Mus musculus: one gene and its partners. The protein of the gene in region 4 purifies or fractionates together with the protein of the main gene of each other region. This does not show direct contact. Links are inferred from orthologs where the notes say so. Each region holds a gene or a part of one and is shown on either strand. Other genes may lie near its edges.

Evidence for each region.
Region 1: the proteins of Prkar1a (region 4) and Vapb purify together in Homo sapiens (affinity purification with mass spectrometry; 3 studies listed by BioGRID and IntAct, counting the BioPlex papers as one, with this or other methods). This does not show direct contact. The link is inferred for Mus musculus from reciprocal best matches to the Homo sapiens genes PRKAR1A and VAPB.
Region 2: the proteins of Prkar1a (region 4) and Dyrk1a purify together in Homo sapiens (affinity purification with mass spectrometry; 6 studies listed by BioGRID and IntAct, with this or other methods). This does not show direct contact. The link is inferred for Mus musculus from reciprocal best matches to the Homo sapiens genes PRKAR1A and DYRK1A.
Region 3: the proteins of Prkar1a (region 4) and Akap11 purify together in Homo sapiens (affinity purification with mass spectrometry; 3 studies listed by BioGRID and IntAct, counting the BioPlex papers as one, with this or other methods). This does not show direct contact. The link is inferred for Mus musculus from reciprocal best matches to the Homo sapiens genes PRKAR1A and AKAP11.

Annotation. Positions count from the first base shown.
Region 1 is NC_000068.7:173,775,064-173,780,236, reverse strand, and holds part of Vapb (vesicle-associated membrane protein-associated protein B), read right to left. Parts: intron 4,126-5,173; coding exon 3,949-4,125; intron 2,175-3,948; coding exon 2,016-2,174; 3' UTR 1-2,015. UniProt on the Homo sapiens protein: Endoplasmic reticulum (ER)-anchored protein that mediates the formation of contact sites between the ER and endosomes via interaction with FFAT motif-containing proteins such as STARD3 or WDR44.
Region 2 is NC_000082.6:94,567,531-94,573,465, reverse strand, and holds the start of Dyrk1a (dual specificity tyrosine-phosphorylation-regulated kinase 1A), read right to left. Parts: upstream 3,261-5,935; 5' UTR 2,932-3,260; intron 2,560-2,931; exon of another isoform or gene 2,490-2,559; intron 1-2,489. UniProt on the Homo sapiens protein: Dual-specificity kinase which possesses both serine/threonine and tyrosine kinase activities. Exhibits a substrate preference for proline at position P+1 and arginine at position P-3.
Region 3 is NC_000080.6:78,515,336-78,520,508, forward strand, and holds part of Akap11 (A-kinase anchor protein 11), read right to left. Parts: intron 3,562-5,173; coding exon 3,445-3,561; intron 2,886-3,444; coding exon 2,838-2,885; intron 1,123-2,837; coding exon 988-1,122; intron 1-987. UniProt on the Homo sapiens protein: Binds to type II regulatory subunits of protein kinase A and anchors/targets them.
Region 4 is NC_000077.6:109,648,897-109,654,682, reverse strand, and holds the start of Prkar1a (cAMP-dependent protein kinase type I-alpha regulatory subunit), read right to left. Parts: upstream 3,735-5,786; 5' UTR 3,610-3,734; intron 3,342-3,609; exon of another isoform or gene 3,240-3,341; intron 928-3,239; exon of another isoform or gene 905-927; 5' UTR 899-904; coding exon 722-898; intron 716-721; exon of another isoform or gene 339-715; intron 308-338; exon of another isoform or gene 1-307. UniProt on the Homo sapiens protein: Regulatory subunit of the cAMP-dependent protein kinases involved in cAMP signaling in cells.

The DNA of each region.
Region 1 (5,173 bases), on a different chromosome or scaffold from region 4:
GAGGGCCAGACAAAGGAAGGATACCCTTGTATCTGGAGTTTTTGTTGTTGCTGCTACTGCAGAAGTGTCTACAACCTCTGGCCCTCTTAGAGCATTCTGACAGCGTTCACACAATCACCTTCCATGGCCCAAGCCACGGCAGCTCCCAGACACGCTTTAATCTCGGCAGCTGGCTGTGCCTCTCAAGAGCTTTTCTGGCACACAGAGCCATCCATCCCTTAAGAACACTTGCAAACCCCGGCTCCTGTGTCGTAGAGCTAGATGACACCCCAGGTCCTGTCAGAGGCACTGAGTTACTCTGCCCTCAAAAGCTGCAAAAGGATTACTGGCAGCACCTGAGACTGCTGAACCTCTCAGTGTAGCAAGGGAAGCCAGGTGGCAGCTCAGACCTCACCCTCAGCTCAGTCGTACCCTCCCTCCTTCAGGCACACGGAAAGGGTCTGGAAACTCGGTAAGAGGCATTAGAGCGGGCAGGGCTGCTTACCGCCCAGTGCCCCCCCCCCCCCCCCCCGTCTCCAGCTCCCACCCGCCCACTCAGGCACAGCAGCAGTGTGATCTCGGGTGTCTAGGCCAGTCTTCCTTTAGATGGGCTTGTCCTCTCAGACTCAGGCCTGTCACTGAAGGGCCAAGGTCACAGAAGGGGAAGGACAGCCAGCCTGAGATGGCTCCTGCTGTTAAGCTGAAGCCAACCAAAATATAATAATAAAAGTAATAGTAATATATGTGTGTGCGTGTGTACACAGATGTGTGCAGAGTCAAATCATTACACATGTGTTTCCCACTGATAGAGCTCATTTTAAAATCAACCTTCCATAGCACACTAACGATGATTGATAATAAGAACCCCACACAGCAAATGTGACAAAATGACAAAAGGACTCTTAATTTGGGGCTTTATTTTAATCTCTTCCTTTAAGATGCTACATAGTTGAGCAGAACTGGATCGGTCTTTTATGGCATGAAATTAATTCACAGTCAGGACTCTTCATCACCAGCAGATGGATTTGCTGAGGGCTCCCCCACCCCACCCCACCCCCTCTATGCCCTTCACCCTCTGCAGCCTGACTCACTCATCCTGAGAAGGGCAGGTCAAGGCTGGCCTATGTTTTAGAAGGATGGATGGTAGGGCAATCTAGAAGACTGGGTAATCCAGAGCTGACTGTCATTAAAAAGAGCGTTCCTCCTCAGGGCAGCTATTACTGACCTACAACAAAACACTTCCTGACTCAGACCCTCCCCTTCCCTCAGACCTCCAGAGCCCACAGCAGCAGCTCCTCACTGGCGGTCTGCAGCACTCACTGCCTGTGCTCTGGTGGCAGCAGGAACACACGAGATGAAATAGGTTACATGTGCATCAGCCATCTCCGAGAACAACTCGGTTCACTACTTGAACCAGCGGTAATTTAGCTTGGTCCCTTCAAGAGAACAGAGCACAGACTTGGATTTCCCTGTGTTGGACCCGCTGGTCCACTCATGTCTCTCCCACACGACCCACAGGTACACGAGATGTGGCCTCTGTGCAATGCACTTTGGCACCTGCAGCTCTGTAGGCCTGAGGAGACGATGCCTGGACAGAACAGCAGGCCTGGGGAAGCCACGTGGGTAAGAAAAAGACAGCTCGCCCCACCTTGCAGGACTCCCGCTCCCACGGGCCAGCCCCAACATGCGAGGAGGAGCTTCTTGCTTTAAGAGAGTGATCTAGCAACACGTGCCCAGGCCTACCCGAATTGAGCGTGACAGCTACAAGATGCCACTGTGGTTAATCACGGCCCGTCCTACGGCAACAGACCATTCTTTCCCCATCCATTCCCTATACATTTTTAACTTTCTAAAAGATCATTATATTATGCTATATTTGTGTGTGCATTTGTGTGTGCATGGGGAGGGGTATTTAAAGGCAAGACCTGTGAGATGCCGTCATACATTAATTTCTTTTTACGCATGGTTATGATAAATTTGAATCCCATGGTGTGGTAGATCCATCAATCCAACCTGCCATCCTTCGCATGCGGCCCCTACAAGGCAATCTTCCCTATAATGACACCAACGATAAAGAACAGAACCACCAGGGCCAGCAGCCGGGCGCTCAGGCCCTCCTCCTTCCCAGTGGCCGCCAGAGCCGCCACGGGGCTGTTGCTCGGCATCGCCTTCCTCACCCGAAGTCCGTCTTCTTCCTGGGGGAACAAGGACACGTTTCAGAAGCAGCTCAGGGCTGGGCAGACACAATCCAGCCAAACCGTACTGTCAAGCACATCCTGGCTTTTTCTTTCTTTCTCTTTCTCTCTCTCTCTCTCTCTCTCTCTCTCCAACACCAACCAAAAACACCCCTCATCTCTCCATGAACCACAAGGAAAGGTCTTCAGAGAGGCAGCCAGGCTTTTTAGCCATGCCTCAGCCTCACCTGTCTACCTGCAGGTCTGACCTTTGCCCTGTCTTGAACCCTGAAGTTTGTTCTGTCAGCTCATCTCTGAGCGAAATCTCAGTTATTCCTAAGCTGCAACCCACGGCGAGCTATCCAGTAGGGACCTGCATCCCCTGAAGCTCTGGTGGTCTGGAACAGGTCTAGGTGACTGCCAAATCAAGTGTCCCTTCGATTTTTAAACACATACTATGAACACCCACTGTCCCAAAAGTGAAAGTGGAAAACCTTCATTTGCCTTCTAACCAATGCGTGACTTCTGGTCTTCAGGCAGGCAGACACCAGATCACACCCATCACAATCCCCCCAGGACAGGTGGGAAATAAACGAAATTCTGTCTTCCTTTGCTTCTGCTGCAACCCACCGCACCCCCCACCCCGGGCTAAGGGCCCTGCAGGTTCCTCCAACGGCCCTTCCCAGGCCCCAGTTCTGCACAGGGCCAGCGCCAGGCGGACCCCCACACTGCTGACACTCTCCGTCCTTTTCCTCTGCTTCTTTCTTATCTGTCAAATGCCAAGTGGAGTCTCCCGGTGATCTGCAGCTCTCCACAGGCCTACTAAGGACATGGGTTGTAACCGTCACTGTCTTGTCTCACCCTCAGCCCCACTCTCAGGGAGCTCCCCAGGGCAGCCTGCTCATAGCTGAGCCCACAACGCCTGGCACACAGCAGATCTCACTAAACAAAAAGGCAATGTCTGGCAGGGTAAAGCACCCGCCACACACCCCACCCCACCCACATGCACATCATGATGGCTCTGATATTACTTTAAAGATGTTCTGCTCGTGGGCAAGGCCAGCATCACAGCACAGTGACGAATGAGCTGCAGCATTCGGTTAACTTTAAAACAATGGGCACAGCAAAATGCAGCATTTACTTTACTGGGTTTACATGGAAGCTATCCCTACCTATAGATCACTTTAAATGGTGCAGAACTCTGTTTCTAAGGAGAAAGAAACTTAAAGAGAAGCGTCTGCAAAGACACTGAGGGCAGCTCCAAGCTGCCATTTTCCTGCATCTCCTTCAGAGCTAATGCAGGGAGTCGGCTTAAAGGAGTGTGCTGTGTGCATCTGCTGCCACAGCAGGTAAAGAGGTGAAACCTATTACATGCTTGGGTGGCATCATCAAGATTAAGAACAAATAGGCCCCAGAATTTAAGCTACAACTCAAGTTCCTATACTCAACTGTTCAGGTATATCCACATCAGCTAAATCCACAGTCAGATGCACAGGTCTCCAGCCACAAGTCAGCCAGAGACACGCTCAGCAAATAGGCCTGAGGCCTGAGACCCAAGAGCTCATGCAAACTGTGTGGACAGTAACATGCAAGGGAGCCTCTGGCCTCCCCAGTCAGCCTGATTTATCTACAGCCTAGTTAGGTGCCTTGGCTTTTGAGAACTGGAAGAAAGCTCTGCAAATATGTCCCCTTAGGAGAAAAAAGCAAGCAGATGCAAAGAAACAAAACAAACCCTCTAGGCTCCCCTCCCCCACTTCCCAGCTATGACCGCTGGACCCTGGAGGGTGGGCGTTACCTTGAGCTGCCTGCTCTCCTCCCGAAGCCTCTGCACCTCCCCCTGCAGCCGCCTGCACTCTTCCATCACCTTCTTTACTTCTGTGTCATCGAGGGGCGATGTCAGGGACTTTGCGGCTGCCGGTGCTTCTGTCTTGGATGCACTCGTAGGTATGATTTTATTTATTTCTACATCATGCTGTTCAGACATGAATGAAAGCCCAAGTGTTACCAGCTATGTCAGAAAGGATTCTATGCAAAGTCGTCCTCGGCACACAAGACACAAGGCAGCATTTCATCTACACTGTACAATGTCACATTTATTGTTTAAATGGATCACTTTATCTAATATCTTGATAATCTAAAGCTACCGGCCCCTAGAAATTATGAATAAGGGCAAATAATGAAGTTGGGCTGAGGCTAATACTTCAAGGAGGAGAAAAGGGGCCATGCATATTGCACTATCAAATTCCTGCCATGCAAAAATTAGCATACTGCAATTGTGCAAGCTCAGGAATTATCAGCTGCAAATTACCTTTGCAGGAGAGCTGAGCATCCCAGCAGTGGGGGCTGGGGATAGAAGGCCCAGAGAGTGCTACACAAAGGCTACCTATAGGCAGGGCAACAAGGCCGGGAGTCAGCATGGTTCTGCAGGGGGTGTGTTGGGGGTGTCACAAACTCCCTGCATAAAAGGAGCGAGGGTACCCTCTTGGAGGATGAGCTAGTCAGTGGAAGCAGGGCTAGGAAGCACTCAGGATGGTCCCTGAGGTTCTAGGCAGCAATCTGAAAATCAGGCATCTAGCTCCACCCTGTCCCCCACAGCAGGGAGAGGCCTGTAAGGCAGAGCCCAGGCTAAGTCCACTTATCATGGGACTGGGGTCAGGATCCATGTCTCCCTGCTTTTAAGTTAACTTTCCTGCAACAGGATGCTATTCTCTCTCCATTCAAAGAACTAAGATGCCAGTAGCTGATTACAGAGTAGAAGAAAACACGACACAGTTCTGACCCCAATCAACAGCATTCTTGGTGCTCATTACGATCATGTGAAGAAATACTGCAGAGCGTTTCCTCTTCCCAGCTCCTGCCATCACTGGTCCTCAGTGAGGGTCCAGATGAAGTTACGACAGGGAGAGCGGGCAGCCAGGGAAGCAAGGGAAAAGAAGGGCTCTCAAAGGGGCAGTGGGCATACAGCAATGTCTACAAAAAAACTGGAGTTACCCCTAGTGTCTAGAGAGCAGGGTCTGGTT
Region 2 (5,935 bases), on a different chromosome or scaffold from region 4:
CACAGACTGTCTTGCCATCAAACATGACAATGGGTAGGACAGCACAGGGTCCCTGCCTTCAGAAGACATACCACTCCATACACTACTACTCTGGTCCTACAGCTGTGACAGGCAAACTGTGAAGTTACAGGTGACCCTGTCTGTTATGTCCAAGCAAGAGATCTGTTCCCAAGTCGAAAGTAGACAAGTACAAATGGAGGAAACCCACCAAAACACTCAACACAAAATAGAGTGTTAGGGCCAAGTTACTGTCTAGAAATACCACAGAATTCTTAAAACTAACAGCTGCAAGTGCTGAGCCATGTTCTTGACAGACTTTCTGGAAACTTGTGGTGTTTGCTGGGTCTGAGGGCTAAGCTCCTTCTTGAGAGGTAGAAGAGAAGTTACTGGGAAGAGGGACACTGGCTGGCAGGTGCGAACAAGAGCATCCCCAAGTAGCAAGAGATTCAGAAATGAAGCCCTCCCTCCCTCCCGCCCTCCCTCTAGGAGTCCAACTATGTATACTATGTAGCTATGTCCTGCAGTACAAAATGATTCTTGGTCATCCAAGATTCTATACAAAATTTCTTTCTGGAACAGACATTTGCCAACCATAAACTCTGTAACATCTCTGTGCTATTTAAATTTCTATTAAAAATGGTTTAAAGTAATACCCAAAGTAAACACATACAGTATTTCTTTCCTTGACAGTTACATAATAACACCCATGACAGAATTCATGCCATGTCTGAAACAAGCCATCTTAGCTTTACCCTCAGTCACTGCACTGCACAGCACAGACTTGTCACACTGTCAGTCACTCCCATCTGTGAGTCACAAGCACAGGAGTCCAGCCACGAAGAAAACTCAGTGACAGAGTAGAACTCTCAAGTGAGACTTCTCTAGCCAAGGGTCTTTTTGACTATCCATGTTCTCGTGAATGGTATTTTATTTTTCAACTCCTAGCACATAGCAGTGGCATAGCACAGAGCATAGAGGTTACAATTTTAACAGGTCACACACCAAAGTGTCTTCAAGAAGCTCCACTGGCTCAGTCAGTCAGTTTCCTATCCTTACAGATAACAACCATCCCTTCAACTCTGCTCCTTCAAAAGACAACAAAATCTTCATCATCCACCAGGAATACAAAATGTGTGTCCTTGCCTTACAGACACAGGAGCAGCCCTTCTAGAACAATTTCTGAGCTTATGCCTCTCTGAGGTAAATACAAACTTTCTGTTGCCATTTTTACAGAGTACCTGGTATAGACGCTGACAAGAGTTTTAACTTTTTGGACAGTACCACAGACACCACCGCCGTGCTAGGGCAGAAGCTCCGAAGGGCAGGGTGCTGTAAGACAAGCACCCTGAAAATCCACATATGCAAATAAATCTTCTTAACCACTATTCCTCTGAAACCTTGACAAGTGAAATTTGAGCTCCTGTCTCCCACTTACAGTCTATTTAAAAATGTAATTCTTTAAGACAATTAAAAAAAATTTAACAAACAAAAAGTAAGATAATTCCACTACATTAACATCTCAAATCAAAATACCTAATAGTTATTCTTAACGTGCAAAGTACAGTGTCAAAAGAGAAATGTAAGTATTTAAATAAAAAATAACTTCACACCAAACTTTATGACTTATCAATACGCAAAAAGAACTCTACACTGTAACAGTTAAACGCAAAGAACAAAATGCACCAGTGGTTTCAATTCTTCCACTGAAAAACAGACTAGTTTACCTGGGGGGGGGGGGGCATGACAAGTTTCATTACAGGGGCTCATCTAAACTGTACTTCTGCAAACCCTAAATTAACTCTACCAAAACCTGTACCCAAACAGTCTAGGTTACAGCCCTGAGTCATCATACAGTACTTAATAATAAGTTAGGAGCCAATGAACAGAAAGCCAGGCTAACAACTGACATAGGCCTCCTGGAGTACTGGCTGTATGACCTTGGACTAGTCACTGCCCACCTCTAGGCTCAGTCTGCTCATCTGTAAAATGGGCAGCATTTCCAACTGGGAGGTTATTCGAGGTAATATATAAAAGGCCTTGCACTAATCTATGAGTGTGCAAACAGTTACAAGGAATATTTTCTTGGGATTTGGCAGAACTCAAGAAGCAAACGATGCTGCACCTCGACGACAGGAGTCACATAATCTAGGGCTGGGCAAAGACAAGACAAGTCATTGGAGTCACTGACTCACGAATTTTGCCATTTTTAACTATTTCGGGGTAGGGAGGGGCCTCTAGCTTAGTGCTGATATTCAGCAGCTCTGGGGCCTCTGGAGCCTGAGTGGGTCTGAGCCTATAAATAGATGTTGAAGTTTTGAGGCGATACACAGGTCTCCATTCTAATTCCAGTCTCCTCCCGCTGCTATGCAGGTCACCCCGGCCCCTCCGGTGCCCTGGGTGGCCCGCGCTCGCGGCCCGACTTCCGAGCACACCAGGTCCCCAGGCCCGAGCGCGGGCCCACTGGGCCTCGCAGGCAGCAGGCTGCCGACCTTCGCCGGCCCGGCCCGGCCGGGCCTTGCGTCCTCGCCTCCCGGCCGCCAGCCCCATTTTCTGATCCCGTGCATTGTCCTTGCCCAGAACCCCGGCGCTCCGCACGCCGGTGGGGACCGAGAGGAGGGACGAGGGAGGAGCTGGGGGCAGAGGATGAGGAGGAAGAGGAGGAGGAGGAGGAGAACAGCCTCCTCCCCTGCGCCCGGGCAGCCAGTGGAGGTCTGGCGCCGGCCCGGCCCGAGGCAGCGGGTCCCACCCGCCGCAACTTTCCTCGGGGACGAGGCCTTCTTCCCCGGGCCCCGGGCCGCCCGCCCGCCCGCCCGCTCGCTCCTAAGATGGCAGGTCCCTCCCTCCCTCCGCTTGAGGCCTGGCGAGCCCGGCTCGCAGGCCCCGAGAAGCCGCGCGCTGGGCCGCGCCGCGCCGGGCGGGGCGGACACTCACCGGGACGATGGCGGGGCGCTCGCGCCGCTCCCTCCGGTGAGTCTCAGCCTCGAGCTCCCGCGCCGCGCTCCCGCCGCGGCCTCCGCAGCCAGCGCCGCCCCGGCCGCCTCTCTCCGCCCCCGGCGTCCCGGCTCCGCGCCGCAGCCGCGCTGGCTCAGGGTCCGTCGGGCTGGCGGGGCCGGCGGCGCCCGCGGCCGGGGAGGCAGGCGACAGCCCCTCCCCGGCAAATACCGCAGTCCCCGGGCCCCCGAGTGTCGGCGGCGGGGCCCGGCCCGGCCCGGTGCGGAGGGCGGCGGCGGCGGCGAGGCCGGGCGCCGAGTGGCGGCCGCTGCCGGCCGCTTCTTCCCGACGAGGATTTTTGTAAATCTCACAAAATGGCGCGCGCTCCGAAGCTGCGCAGCGAGCAGCGCCGGGGCCCGAGCGGCGGCGGCGGCGGCGGCGGCTCCGCCAGGAGAGCCCGGACCGCCCGCCCCCGATCCCGCACAGACACTCGCGCACACTCACCGCGCGCACACTCGCCCTCGCACACGCTCCCTCACACTCACACCGGTCCCGCCCGCTCGCCGGCGGCGGCGGCGGCGGCAGCGGCAGCGGCACCAACAGCAGCAGCAGGAACAGCAGCACAAGCGGCGGCGGCGGTGGCGCCCGCACCCCCGCTCGGGGAGTCCGCTTTCTCAGCCCGACCTGGGCCGCGATCGGCAGCAGCGACGGCAGCAGTCTCCCCGGATCCCCCCGCCGCGGTTGCCGCCGCCACCCCCGCCTCACTCCAATGGGGCTTTTTATTATTATTCGGGCGGGAAGCGAAAGGGTTTAAAAAAAAACCAACCAACAAAATGGCGACGGACCGACCCGGTCGCTATAGCAACTGTCAATCAAAACGCAAAACCCCGGCTGACGTGCTGACGTCCTCCGCCCGCCCCTCCCGGCCCCAAGCCGGCGGGCGGGGCCTGTTGCTCGGGTAACGGCAGATTCCGTTCCCTCCTTCCCCTCTCTCCTCCGTCCCCCAGCCAACCACCCAACCCCCCTCAGGTCACGTGAAGGATAAATTCGGAGCTCGGGCCCGCTATGAGTGTCAGAGGAGGGCGCGTGATTCGCTCGGGGGAGGGGAGTGGAGGGAAGGGAAGGGAAGGGACGGGGGCGAGGCGGTGGCCTGCCGGTGCGCGAGCGAGCGAGCGAGCGCCTGCCGCCTCGCGGCCGCCTCGCCCCGCCCCCGCGCTCGCTCCCACGCCGACTGCGGCCGGGCCAGCGCGCGCCCCCGTGGCGCAGCGCGCTCCCGCGCCGCGAGCCCGCAGCCCCGCCCGCGCGGCCCGGGAAGGAAGGGAAGCGGAGGGCAAGCCGCCCACCTCGCGGCCCTGGGAGGCCGCCGTCGCGAGCCCCTATCCCGACCGGGCCCGCGCAGGCCTGGACGATCGCTGGCGTCCGGCTCACCTCCGGAATTACGCCCGCGGCTGCAGGCGCGCGGCCGCCACCTTACTCGGACCGTGCCCGCGCGCGGGCCGCGCAGAAACTTTCCAGGCTGGGCACGCTCCCGGGCGCCGGTTCCCCGGCTTCTCCATCGGAATGCCCAGCCAGCGCCAACCCCAGGGCTTTCGGAGGGGGTTGGGGGGGGGGGTTGTTTTTTGTTTTTTTTTTTATTGTTACCTGTCCTAAGTCACCTCGGTTTCCCGATTCTTAAATTTGCCCACTTGGCCTTAACCGTCGAATCTTCACCGGAATTCTGCCTTTCGGTTTTTTTGTTTTGTTTTTTATTCTACTGTCTTCCGCCTGGCTAAATACTGCTGGGTGTCCTCTCGGGCCATTGACACTGAAGTCCCCTGTGCTGGCTACTTTGTAATTAGGAGACAGCTACTGGCTAAAATTGTATTTTGTACCTATTCTAAAATAATGGCGTTAGCTAGTAGCTTAAAAGGATATACATAAAGATATTTTCGTGTGTAAGTATATACACTGTTGCACACCAAAAGTAACTGGATTTATTTCTACACATGGTTTTTACCATAGTGGTGTTGACGTTTTGCTTAAGCTCTTTGCAACAGATGCAGTCTTATAAACAAATGTAAAAACACCAGTCAATACTGGTCTCTGTGCAGTATGATCCTAGGAAACACTTGGCTTCGGTGATTTCCAACAAACCTCCTATAGTTAGCACACCACTGATATACTAAAGCACCTATTCAACTTACAAAAAAGGGGGGGGGGGCAAAAACTAAAGTAAATTAGGGCACAGGAAGGAAAGTAAGTTGCTTTAGACTGCCTCGGATATAAAACATTTCCAGCGTCTGACAAACATACGTTTGGCTGCCCTGTTGATATAATTTAATTAAAGTCCACAAACAATGTAATTAATCTGAAGAAACTGAAGTGTCCAAGAGTGTCCCTTACACAGAAGTTAGTACCAGGTCCTTCCCAAACACAAGCTTTCTCCAGTTCCTCCTCCTGCCTCACCTCCAGGCTTCTCACCCCATTGACCAGATATTCTTTTCCAGCACAACGCTAAAAACTAAAATCCCCATCAAATGTTTGAAAGCTGGTAAAGGGGAAACCTGGGTAACACTGGCCATCTATGACAGGGTGTCAAGGAAGAGCTCAAGCTGGAAGCCACTCCGTGTGAGGCAAAGTCTGAAGGCTGTGCACACTCGAGCTTAGGCAGTGTTGATCCCTGTATCTAAGAGACGGACCCCTCTCCCAAACCCGTACCATGGCAGCCTTACCTGACACCAGTCAATGAGTTGTCATGTCTGGGCTGGGAATGCTATCAAGTATTGGATATGGATGTCACCTATAAAGTGGCCTGCACATTTATGGCCTGTGACAACCAAGGGACGCAGTGGCCTCTGGAAGAAGCACCAACTAGTTGTGCCTGGATACAGAAATTAAAACTTTGGTTTTACGTGAGAATCCTACCTGAGAACATGGAAAAGCAAAGACAATCCCCCTAGCCTCAGTCACTGCCGTCCAGCCTGCTCTAGAGCACCCAGTCCCCGCAGAAAATGACCCAGCCCAT
Region 3 (5,173 bases), on a different chromosome or scaffold from region 4:
TCCCCAATCTAACTCCTTGGATGTTATAGAACCTTCTATCACTCTAGTCTCTTGGGCAATTTTTTTTATTACTGTATGTTTGTAATATGTCCTCTTTAATATTTGCCAATCTCACCTACTACACTATGGATGGACAGAAAGTTTACTTGTTTATTCCATTTTCCTGTAGCTCCCAACATGTCACCTTCCATTCTACCACAAAAGAACTGTCCTTATTTCTTGACTTGTATTTCTCCAGTATTAAAACGTACAATCATGGTTACAGCTTTGATTAAGAACACAAGCCATTAGTTTTTCCCATACACAATGCATTTTAAATGCAGACATTGATAAATGATTTATAAAAAAAAGAAACCAAATATAACAGCTAATTGCCCTTTATGTCCTAGCAAATAAAGCAAGTGTTTAAGACGGAATAACACAATCCAGGAAACAAGGCATAGCTCTAATCACCAGACCTCACAAAGAACAAAGCAGTATTTCATAGCTGGAATAAGTTCTCCAAATTGTAAACATACTCATACAACTGTAAATGTCTTACTCCCTAAAGCCTTTTTCTTTGATACATTATCAAAAATAATTAGTGATGAACTAAAGACTGTTTTATGAAAACAACATTTTACATGGAAGCTCTTTAATCAGAAAGTTAACTGAAGTCCATATTCTATAACATTCAGCTTGCAACACATACAAATGTGGGACGGCCATAAAGCAGGAGCTCCAGTCATACAAAGACATCTGAGCAGAAATAGTTCACTAAAAGTTTGCACACCACTGACAGTACTTCACTGGCAAGAATTTAGTTTATAAGCCATGATCAAAATTATTTTATACTTCAAGGCTGGCAATGCTTTGTGAGTTAGACTTTTCATCAATACCACTTCCTGGAGACTAAATTAAATCAAGAAAAGCTTCGATCACTATTACTGAGCAAATATACTAAAAACCTGCCCTGAAAAAGCAGATGAGAAATGATCCACCAGTTACCTGATTTAGAGGACTACTGCTTACATTGGACGATTTACTGGTATCCTTCATACAAATGATTTCATTTTCACTTAGACTGCAAAAATGGAGCGAATTCAGAAGATCTGGAAGTTCCAATGAAACTGCAGCTAGATCCTAATTTTAAATAACAGTGACAGTAATGAACAATATTACAGAATAGCAATGTCAAGGTTTCCACAATGTTGTCCACTCAAAACTCATGAAATGTACTGGTCAATAAATTGTCTGCTTTGTAACAGCTCACATACATACACAGTTTATCTACAGAGTCATTTTTTAACTCACAAATAAAGCACAGGTTACTTAGTAATGCTTTGTATTGTAGCCTTTCGAGCATTTTGCTACCTCATCAATCTTAAAACAGGACACCTCACACACCCATAATGATCAGCATTTAAATGCTTTTAGTAGTTGTCACCCTCAGGTCTTCTGGGTTGATGCTGGAGTTTTTCATATAGAATTCTTAGCTACTGAACACCCTTCTTCAGAGACTGAGTTTTATCTCTTTAAAATATAAGTTTACTTTTTCCAAAGATATTGTAGTAAGCTTTCAAAGAGTTTATGCAGGTTTAAGGAAAGCTAGCTTTCTTTTCTGTTACCTTTTCTTTTGCCTTTTCTTTAAAAGCATTTTTTCCAGCACAAGGTTCCCTCCAGTCTTTGCCCCCGAAGAATAGAGGCTTCGTACAGGTGGTCCTGTCTAAGCTCCTGAGGGCCAGAGAAGGTGTGCTGTTTGTTTTGTTTTTGAAAGAATGTCACTCTGTAGGTGAAGCTGGCCTGGAACTATGCAGCCCACGCTAGACTCTAACTCACAGTGACACTCCTGCATCAGCCTTGCAAGTCCAGTTCTATATTTGCATGTTGTTCTGGAGAGTATGCCCTCTCTGGTTTTGCTGTCCAGGCTATTTCCTTCTGGCCATGAAAATCAAGACAGACTACAGAGTTTGCAGGTATACTCACCAGAGAGAACTAATACAGAATTGCTAGTTTTCTAGCAGCAGCACAAGGAAAACCTATCTGCAGTGATTTGTGCAACTTTCAGGCAACCTTTCATTGATCCTAACCTCAAATATCAGTCCCCCTATAAATGTCTAAATGAAATGGGCTATAAACTTGTACACAAATCTATAAATATGCAAAAATTGAGAGCTTTTACAAATCTGATCTTTTATATTTAATTCTACTTCACTAAAAATATAAGAACCTTACTTCTGAAATCAAATTGTGAAAGCCATTAAAATATACAAATGTTACATGCAATATAATGAACAGAATGAAATAAACAGCCTGTGGTTTAAAGATTTCAGATAAATGATTTTAATTGTGAAATCTAAATCTGCTTTCCTTAGCAAGATTTATATCAACAAAAGCTAGTGATGGTAGCACACAGTTGTTATCCCAGCAGTTGGGAGATGGAGGCAGAAGCTTTCGACAAGTTTAAGGCCACAGCAAGGATATCTGACAAGACCTTGTCTCACAAATAACAACAAAGGAATTCTTAATAAAAATACTGAAATTAAAGATGTACAGGCCACACTCAAATGTTATCTTTGTTTTGAGGGGATTGGGGTAGGGACAGAGACTCACTACGTAGCCCTGGCTGGCCTGGAACACACTGTACAGACCAGCCACTGGTCCTGAACTAAAGTTCAGCCTGCCTTTGCTTCCTGACTGCTGGAATTAAAGGAATGCACCATTATGCCTGGCTTCAAATAGCATCTTTTAGCTTTAAAAGATACCTTATAATCAGTGTAAAATTTGAGCACTAAAGTTTTCAGTCTTCAAAATTTAAGTAGCCCCCCACAATCTGCCATTCAGTAAACTGGCCCCACCTGTATATGAGCAGCATCTGTTTCTTCATTAAAGCCCAGAAACGTGACCTGAATTTAAAAAAAAAATCTCCATTAGTTTACTGTGTTTAAGTCCTGGGTCAGAACGTGGACAAGGCACTAAACACTGGGCAGGGCAGGCAGTGTTCCTAATGACCAAGGTTTCCACCACACTGTAGCTCTTGAACCTCACCATCCACCTTTCCCGTGCCCTCCTCATCCCCATCGTCACTGCCATGCACTCTTACTTCCGCCATCACTGGACTGTCCACTGCCATGCCACTTGTCCGTTTGCCATGGTTGTTAATAGATGCCTTCAGCCTGCCCCAATTAATCCCAGATTCACTCCAACCCCATACCCACCTAACATGGTGTTACCATTAAAAAAAAAAAAAAATTCAGGTTCAATTTGTGTTGCCCAAATACTCTCCATTATGAGGCCTGTCTTGGAGCACGGTCAACCTACAAGTCATACCCTCAAAATAACCCAACTGCTTCCCAATCACTAGTATTATGTACAGCTTTTAAAAACAGAGCCTGAAGTTATAAGAAGACCATGAAAACATATTGTGCACAATTGCAAAAGGGTTCAGAAAGTCATATGGCAAACCTCAGTTAACTGGGGGTGCTCATCCTGGTTTAAACACTCTCCTCCTGATACACTGCATAGCTCCTTCTCGCTCTGTAATAAAGACTTTACAGACCGGAACACATCTTCACTGAAGCTCTGTGGAATAAATAAGCAAAACAATTTAACTCTAAGACAAGTAAGAAAACTTGCAGATATTTGAGTTTTACAGTTACTCATTCACCAATTAATATTTTTTAAATTATCTGTTAAGCTCAATTCTGCTGAGAAAAAAATTCAAGTTCCTGGAAAACAATACAGACCTATACTCCAGATTCACTTATACTTACCTCTTACACCAGTGCTTCTCAACCCTCCTAATGCTGTGACCCTTTAATACAGCTCCTCGTGCTGTAGTGACCCTCAACCATAAGATTATTTCATTGCTACTTCATAACTGTAATTTTGCTACTATTATGAATCATAATACAAATATCTGGTATGTAGGATAATACAGATGTGACACCCCCCAAAGGGGGTCAAGAGAGAACAGGTTAAAAAATCACTGCCTTACACTAAAATTAGCAAACTGCATATATTATTTCCAAGTCCCTAACAGAATAGAAACAATTCGTATACTGAGTGAAATGATGTAGCTAGAAAAGGGTACATTAGCATCAACTATTCTTCCCTTAAAAGACAGAGAAAAAATTAACTAAAAATAAGACTTCCTAGTGGTCTTAAAGCAACTATATAACAAAAATAAGAAAAATAAGAGACTCCGTGTCTGGGAAAGAAAATTGTCAAAAATGCCAAGTGCATGCAGGAGACAATGAATATTACAGTCGGACAGAAAGATAACACTAACTTCCCACTAACTCCAGTATTCCTCTTCTCATATGTGGCCTGCTCTCCTCACCTGTGGGACTGCCTTACACCACAATCCTGCCCTATAGAACCCTATCACACCAAGGCTGAAGACGATGTCCTCACCCGTCAGTCTAAATTTCTCCTTTACTGTTTGCAGATTAAGGTTACTTGATCTGTATTATAACATATTTTAATTACAATATTCATGTGTATATCTTCTCTGCCCACTGAACTGTATCATAAAAACTGTAATATTCCATTCACTTCATCTCCTCACACTTTACATCAAGTCAACAAACAGCTGCTAACCATAAAAAGTTCATCTAACTTAAATCTGTAATCTAAGAGATAATATTAAGGAATTCAAGAAAAAGCTATGTAACGTTAAATTTCAATCTCACCTATCAAGATGTGTCTATTATTTTTAAAATACTACCTTTTCTAATGCAGGGTCTTAGAATCAATAACCCTCAAGTAGCAATAAGCAGATCGCATACCCAGATTGTGGTTTCTAAACACAAACCAGCAATTAAAAGAACCAGAGCTCCTCAGAAAAATGTCTGGTTCCAGATCCTGGACAGAGAGAACATACAAAAGAAACTATACCATCTAACTGTGCCAGAATACAGAGAAGCGCTCAAAGGCTAAATTGGGCAATTTCAAAAGAACACAGAAGTCACTGTATTACTCAGGAATCCCCACTGGCTACATCTGGAACAAGCAGGGCACCAAAAAGAACAGAAATGGTAATGCATCCTAACTTCTGAGTTCAGTCATAGTGTTCTTTGCCTATGATTGCTGGATGACAAATAGGGGCAAACTGATTCCATTAGAAAATCCTCTTTGTAAGGCTAAACATACTGATTTGGAAAGAATTATTAGTATATCCTAAATCTATGAA
Region 4 (5,786 bases):
TGAACATCCTGTGTGTCTGTGAGTCACACTGACCCACACAAAATACAGATGCAACAACAAAGAATCAAAATCCAATTGCGTATTTTATGGGGAACAAGCACTCACTAACAAACAAAATGTTAAGCATAGTAAACATGTGATAACCATCCATCTCCTATCCCCTTTATACAACAGTTAATTCACCCAACAGTAAAACCAGAGTTCAGAATCTGTCAAGCTTAGTCCACCCCAAGCTAGACACACACCTATTTCTATAGTGTTAAACTAGACACACACCTATTTCTATAGTGTTAAACTAGACACACACCTATTTCTATAGTGTTAAACTAGACACACACCTATATCTATAGTGTTAAAGGTGGAATAAACTAATAGCTCGCCTGCTTGGTAAAGGAAAGCATGAACTGCCTTTAACTAACTCTCAACTCACTGTCACACTACTTTTGATTGATTCTGTTAGTCTATTTTCTGTATTATTTCAAATAGCTAAAAACAACAACCATCAGGAAACCTGTTTTAGCCACACAAGCAGCATCAATTTGGTTTCTGGCAACTTCTAATTAAAATTACTAAAAAATCCTTCACTGCATGATAATCTGAATTTCTGCTTGACTTACTTGGCCAGAACCCCTCTTGCCCGAAGTCACACATCAGTTGACATTCAGAAGCTCTAAGCACAGCAACTGTCATGGTCATCAAATCGCTCCCTCATGAATTTTACCTTCTCCAACCTCTCAAAGTATTCCCGAAGGAATGCCATGGGCCTCTCGGGCCGCGTAGTGCACAGCTGCACGATGGAGTCCTTCAGCAGGGCCTGGATATTGTGCTTCTGCACATAGAGCTCGCATTCCCGGAGACTCCGCTCTTCCTCACTGGTTGCCATACTGCCAGACGCCATGGTTCTCTGGGAGACAAAGAACACACATGCTGGGTAAGCTAGAAAGCACAGATGCAGATCTGGCCTGGGACTTACTTAAATTCACGAGACAGCAGATTCAAACATTTCTTTACTCAACAGCATTTGTGTTTAAAGAGGAGGTGGGGGTTGGATATAAACTATCCCAAGTTTCTACTGTCTCCGCTGGGCAGGTCACGCAGAGAAGACCCATAGCTCCTGGGAGGAAGTATGAGCCAGCGTGCCTGCCCTGCTGAGCAACTGAGGCAGTGCTGAGGCCCCAAGCCCTCTGGAGATTTCATTCAGTTCTCTTGCAAAAGACATGACGATGATGACGTGGGAAGTATGTAAGTGGGAAGCAGGTCAGAGAATTACAAGGGCACACAGGTCGGCTCTAAGTGAAAGCACAGCTCACAAAGAACACCTGACATTCCCCTGAGTGCACCTCCCATCCCATGAGCGCAGCTAATGTCACAGCAAACCACAAGGGCAAAGAAGCTGATTAGCCAAATATTAGTGGAATCGAATTTTCTGAAACACAAAAGCAGCCTCGGGTGCCTTTCCTCAGCAATCTTTCATTCCCTTCTTTGACTAACTCTGCCCGTGACTTAGAAATACAATTACCAGCAGAAAGAGTTGAAAAGGCTGTACTAGAGGAAAATAATCTCTACCAAGCAAACTAAGATTTTCTTCATCTAGACAGGAATATATTAAAACATGCTAGTTTACAGCTTACAGGATGACTCAATAGCTAAAACTGAATTTGAGCAACATTAATATGAAATAGAAACACAATAATGGGCAGCCAAGCTGCCTCAGGACTAAAAGCTCAGTACTTTATGCAGCTATTCAGTTTTCCTCCTAACTCCTAATTACTAAGCACTTGAGATTAGAAGATGACGCCCTCTCCACTCTGCATACCAATTCCACATAACCACTCTTCAAATTATAATGCTCACAGACCCTCTAAGGTTAACCTGTGAGTTAAAAGATAAGGATAAGGAGCCATTTTAAAGTGCTGCACTAATGTTTTGTTTTGACAGTTTTCAAGATAAAGGTCAATAATATGCACGCAACAGACCAGGACAAAGTTTGTAGCTCCATGACAAGCACAGAAAGAAATTAGAAGCCACAGACAGACAGACAGACACACACACACACCACCGTCAGTTCAGAAGAAACACTGAAGGGAAGGTTTCTACTGTCAGATATCGTTTGTTCTTGTTGTGCTTCCAGGTCAGAGCACGGAACGAGACAAAGAATCCACTTCATTGGAACTTTCTCCATTTCAAATACTGAAGGCCACCAGGAACGTGGATAAAAACAAATCTATTATGCTTCGAAGCATCCAGCCATATTTCAAGAATGTCAGCACATATATTTAACTGATCAGAGAAATCCCTCTTAGATCCTGTCTCTGGCTGGGAAGGATGGCGCAACTAGGGCTGATAAGTGAAAAATGGTGTATGCATTACAAAGACCAAAAGGCAGGCACTGGTAAAGAAAATACAAACACCAGTCATCATGTGAAACGCCAAATAATCTAATTTTATGGCCTTAGGATTTTTAATCGGGTATGTCTTGGTTCCACGTTTGTATTTACTTTTTAAAAACCCCACAACTTAGCTTCTCTCCAAAACAAACACTAAAACCATCATCACTGCATCGAGTATTCGTAAGAAGGGGGATTCTTGAGGAAATTCGGTTCTGATGACACTCTTGCTTTCAGAAGGACTATACTGGAGGACATATTTAAACCGCCTTTGGGAGCCTGTTGCTGACAGGGCCCACATCTAAAGGATGCCAAGTAACACTAACACAGCCTGGGGGGTGGGGTGGGGGTCATCATCTAAATGCGAGCCTTCATTTCTCTGCTCAAGAAACCTATCTATCCTGGCTCCCTCAAGTCATCGGCTGTCCCCACACCCGCTCTGGGCTGGAGTTAAGGGTTAACGGGCGCCGCGTATTTTCACGAGGGAGGGCAGGAAAGTGCCCTTCACTTCACTTAGGCCACGGTCATGATCACTGAGAGCAGCAAGACGGCCCCTCATCCCCCACCAGGCAGGAGGCCGCAGACGTGGAGTGGAGCGGAGCGGGAGGCCTGGGGAGGCTGGGGTGGGCGGTGGTGGGGGCTGGAAAGGACGAGAAGTGTTAGGGGGACAAAGGGAAATGGAGCTAGGCTGAAATCACCGAGCGGAGGGGTGGAGGGAGACGAGCCCGCGAAGAGGAGGGGGGAAGCCAGGGCAGAAGAAACGACTGGGCAGAGATGAAGACTACAGCCGAGTGGCGAGGCTAAGACCGAAAAGCCATGGCGGATTCCGGTTTAAAAAAAAAAAAAAAATACCGAGCTCTTGTCCTTCAGGAAGTGGGGGAGGGAGGACGGGCGCCGAGGCCGCGGCGCGCGGGGGCGGAGGCGGCCGGGGAGCCGAGGGCAGCGCAGGACCGGGGACCCGGAGACACTCAGGACGGGGGCGGAACGGCGGGGGGCAGGGGCGGCCTACGGCCCCGCGGGGAACGGTGCAAGGGCGGACCCCGGGGGACAGTGCGAGGCCTGCGACAGGCCCCGAGGCCGCCTCGGAGGCGCAGGGGGTGCGGCCGTCCCCCCGCAGCGCGCTCCCCGGGGCGCCATCTTGGCTCGCTCCCGCGCCTTCAGGGACGCGCAGCGGAGCGCCGCGGCCGGCGACTCCCCGGTCAGGCCTCGGGCCCGCACTCACCTGAGGGCGGGCGGCGGCACGAGCAGGGGCTAACGCAGGGCGAGGCGGCCGGGGTGACCGAGCGTCCAGCGGGCTCAGCTCGCAGCCTCACTACCACTCTGCGATAGCGGCTCGGCGACGGCTCCACCGGAAACCAGCCGACCGCGGCCAATCAGCGTTCGGCTGCTGACGTCAATGCGCCTCGCTCTGGCCAGGGCGGTTGCCTTGGCAACCTTAAAGGCGCAGACGCCTAGGATCCTCCTCCAACCCCATCCCCACCCCCCTCAAGCCCACCACCGGCTACTCCCACCCCCTACCCTTAGCCCGTCGTCATCTAGCTAGAACCGTTCTCTTGCAGGGCACCTCTCCATCTTTATCTTGTCGCGTATACGTAGCCCCTTCATCGCTCTCATCTTTTTCCTTCTCTTTCTGCTAACCCGTTTCTGTCTCCTTTATTGTCCCTTCCTTACCAGGTGTGGTGGGGGGTCCTCTAGATTGTTTAGCTGTTCGGAGATCTCAGCCTCTCCTCGGTTCCTCGGTGGCTCTTGCGTCTGCCTCCCTCCACGCCTCTGTCTTTTCTCCCTCCCTTCGACCCTCCTACCGCAGACCCACGTGGGACGATTCGGTGACAGGTGGGCGACTCCGCCCTGGGTGCTATGGGACGGCAGGGAGGGGGATGGGGTTACAGGACGCTGGGCGGACAAGGAGATCCCTGCTGTTGGAAGAGGAGGAGGCCCTAGCGGATCTACCACAGCTGAGCGCAAGCGGATGCTGAGATGCTCCTGATGGACAGAGCGCGCATCCTGTGTAGACCCCCGCAATACCCGGGGTTCCGGACTCGGGCCTGTCATCCGGTCCAGGAAATCTGAGCCCCTATCAAGCCTCTGCTTGGCTAATCTGACTACTGTCTCCACAAGTGAGCTGTCATCAATGGAGGCCCTACCGTGCCTACAGAAGCACCAGATGTAGGGAGACTTCCAAGAGGAGCCCGGAGTCCTGATAATGCCCTAGCCTCCTATTATGCCAGACTGCGTCATGGGCAGTACAGACAGATGGGCAGATCAAATCATTGACCAAGCAAGAAATCTGAGCTGCATGAGAAAACAAGAGAAAAGGCGACTTCATTATTCCTTCAGTCAACTTTCCCCTTAAGTATGTGAAAATGAAAGCAAGGGACACAATTTTAGGCATATGAATTAAATAAATAAAGTGGGCCTAAATAAATACATAAATAAAATAGGCCCCTGCAGTGTGTGGTTCTGAGTAGCTGCAAGGTGTTGACAGCCTCATCGTGTATGTGCTAGGGCAATGTGCGTAGAAAATATCACGGATTTAACACTTAGTACCAAAAAAGGTTACAATATCTCCTGCATAATTTTCACAGTGATCCCCAGTTAAGATATTTGGGTTAAGTGGTGTTTGTAAATTTCACCTTTTTAAGCCTGACTTTGTCTTGGAATACCCAGACTATGATAAGGGCTCTGAACATTAGTTATGATTACCCCCCCTAGTAGTCAGAGGAAGGAAGGGGGAAGAGAAGGAAGCCGCTCCCTCTGCAGCCTCTCACCAGGATGTTGATCAATGGCTTCTTTTCCAGAGATGGGTAGAGTGGAAGATTAAAGACCGAGTCGCCATCATGCAGGCTTTCCCCCTCTCCAGTGCTGATAAACCCAGCCCTAAGCTGGCAAACGGGAGAGGGAACTGGATAGCACTGAGCATGCCCGGTCGTGTTCTGAAGAAAGGAAGGAAAAAAAACAAAACCACCCACTGCAGATAAATCTGTTTGTTTTCATGCTTTGCCATCTCCTGTGAGGAACTTAATCTCCTGGAGCTTCATTTTCCTGCATCTCGAAGGGATAACTGGGACTGTATTAACACTGACGAATAAAAGCAAACAATCGTAGAGCACCTACCTCATGTGTAAACTGCCCTAGATGCTTCAGACAGATAATCATTCCATGATGTTATCGTTTTGGAAAGAGCATGACACAAGAGGTTGAGTGGCCATAGCGTGTGTGGGTCAAACCCAGGCAGTGATTGTAGATTGACCTCCTTTGAAGCATGCACCCACCCCCCCAAACACAAACACACAGTGTCCCCCACACGATGTAGGAAACATTAAATGAGAGTTTTCTTCCTATTCCTCTGCCTTCCTAAGGGTAAGATTAAGTGTGAGTGATTTTGGTGTCCGACCTTAG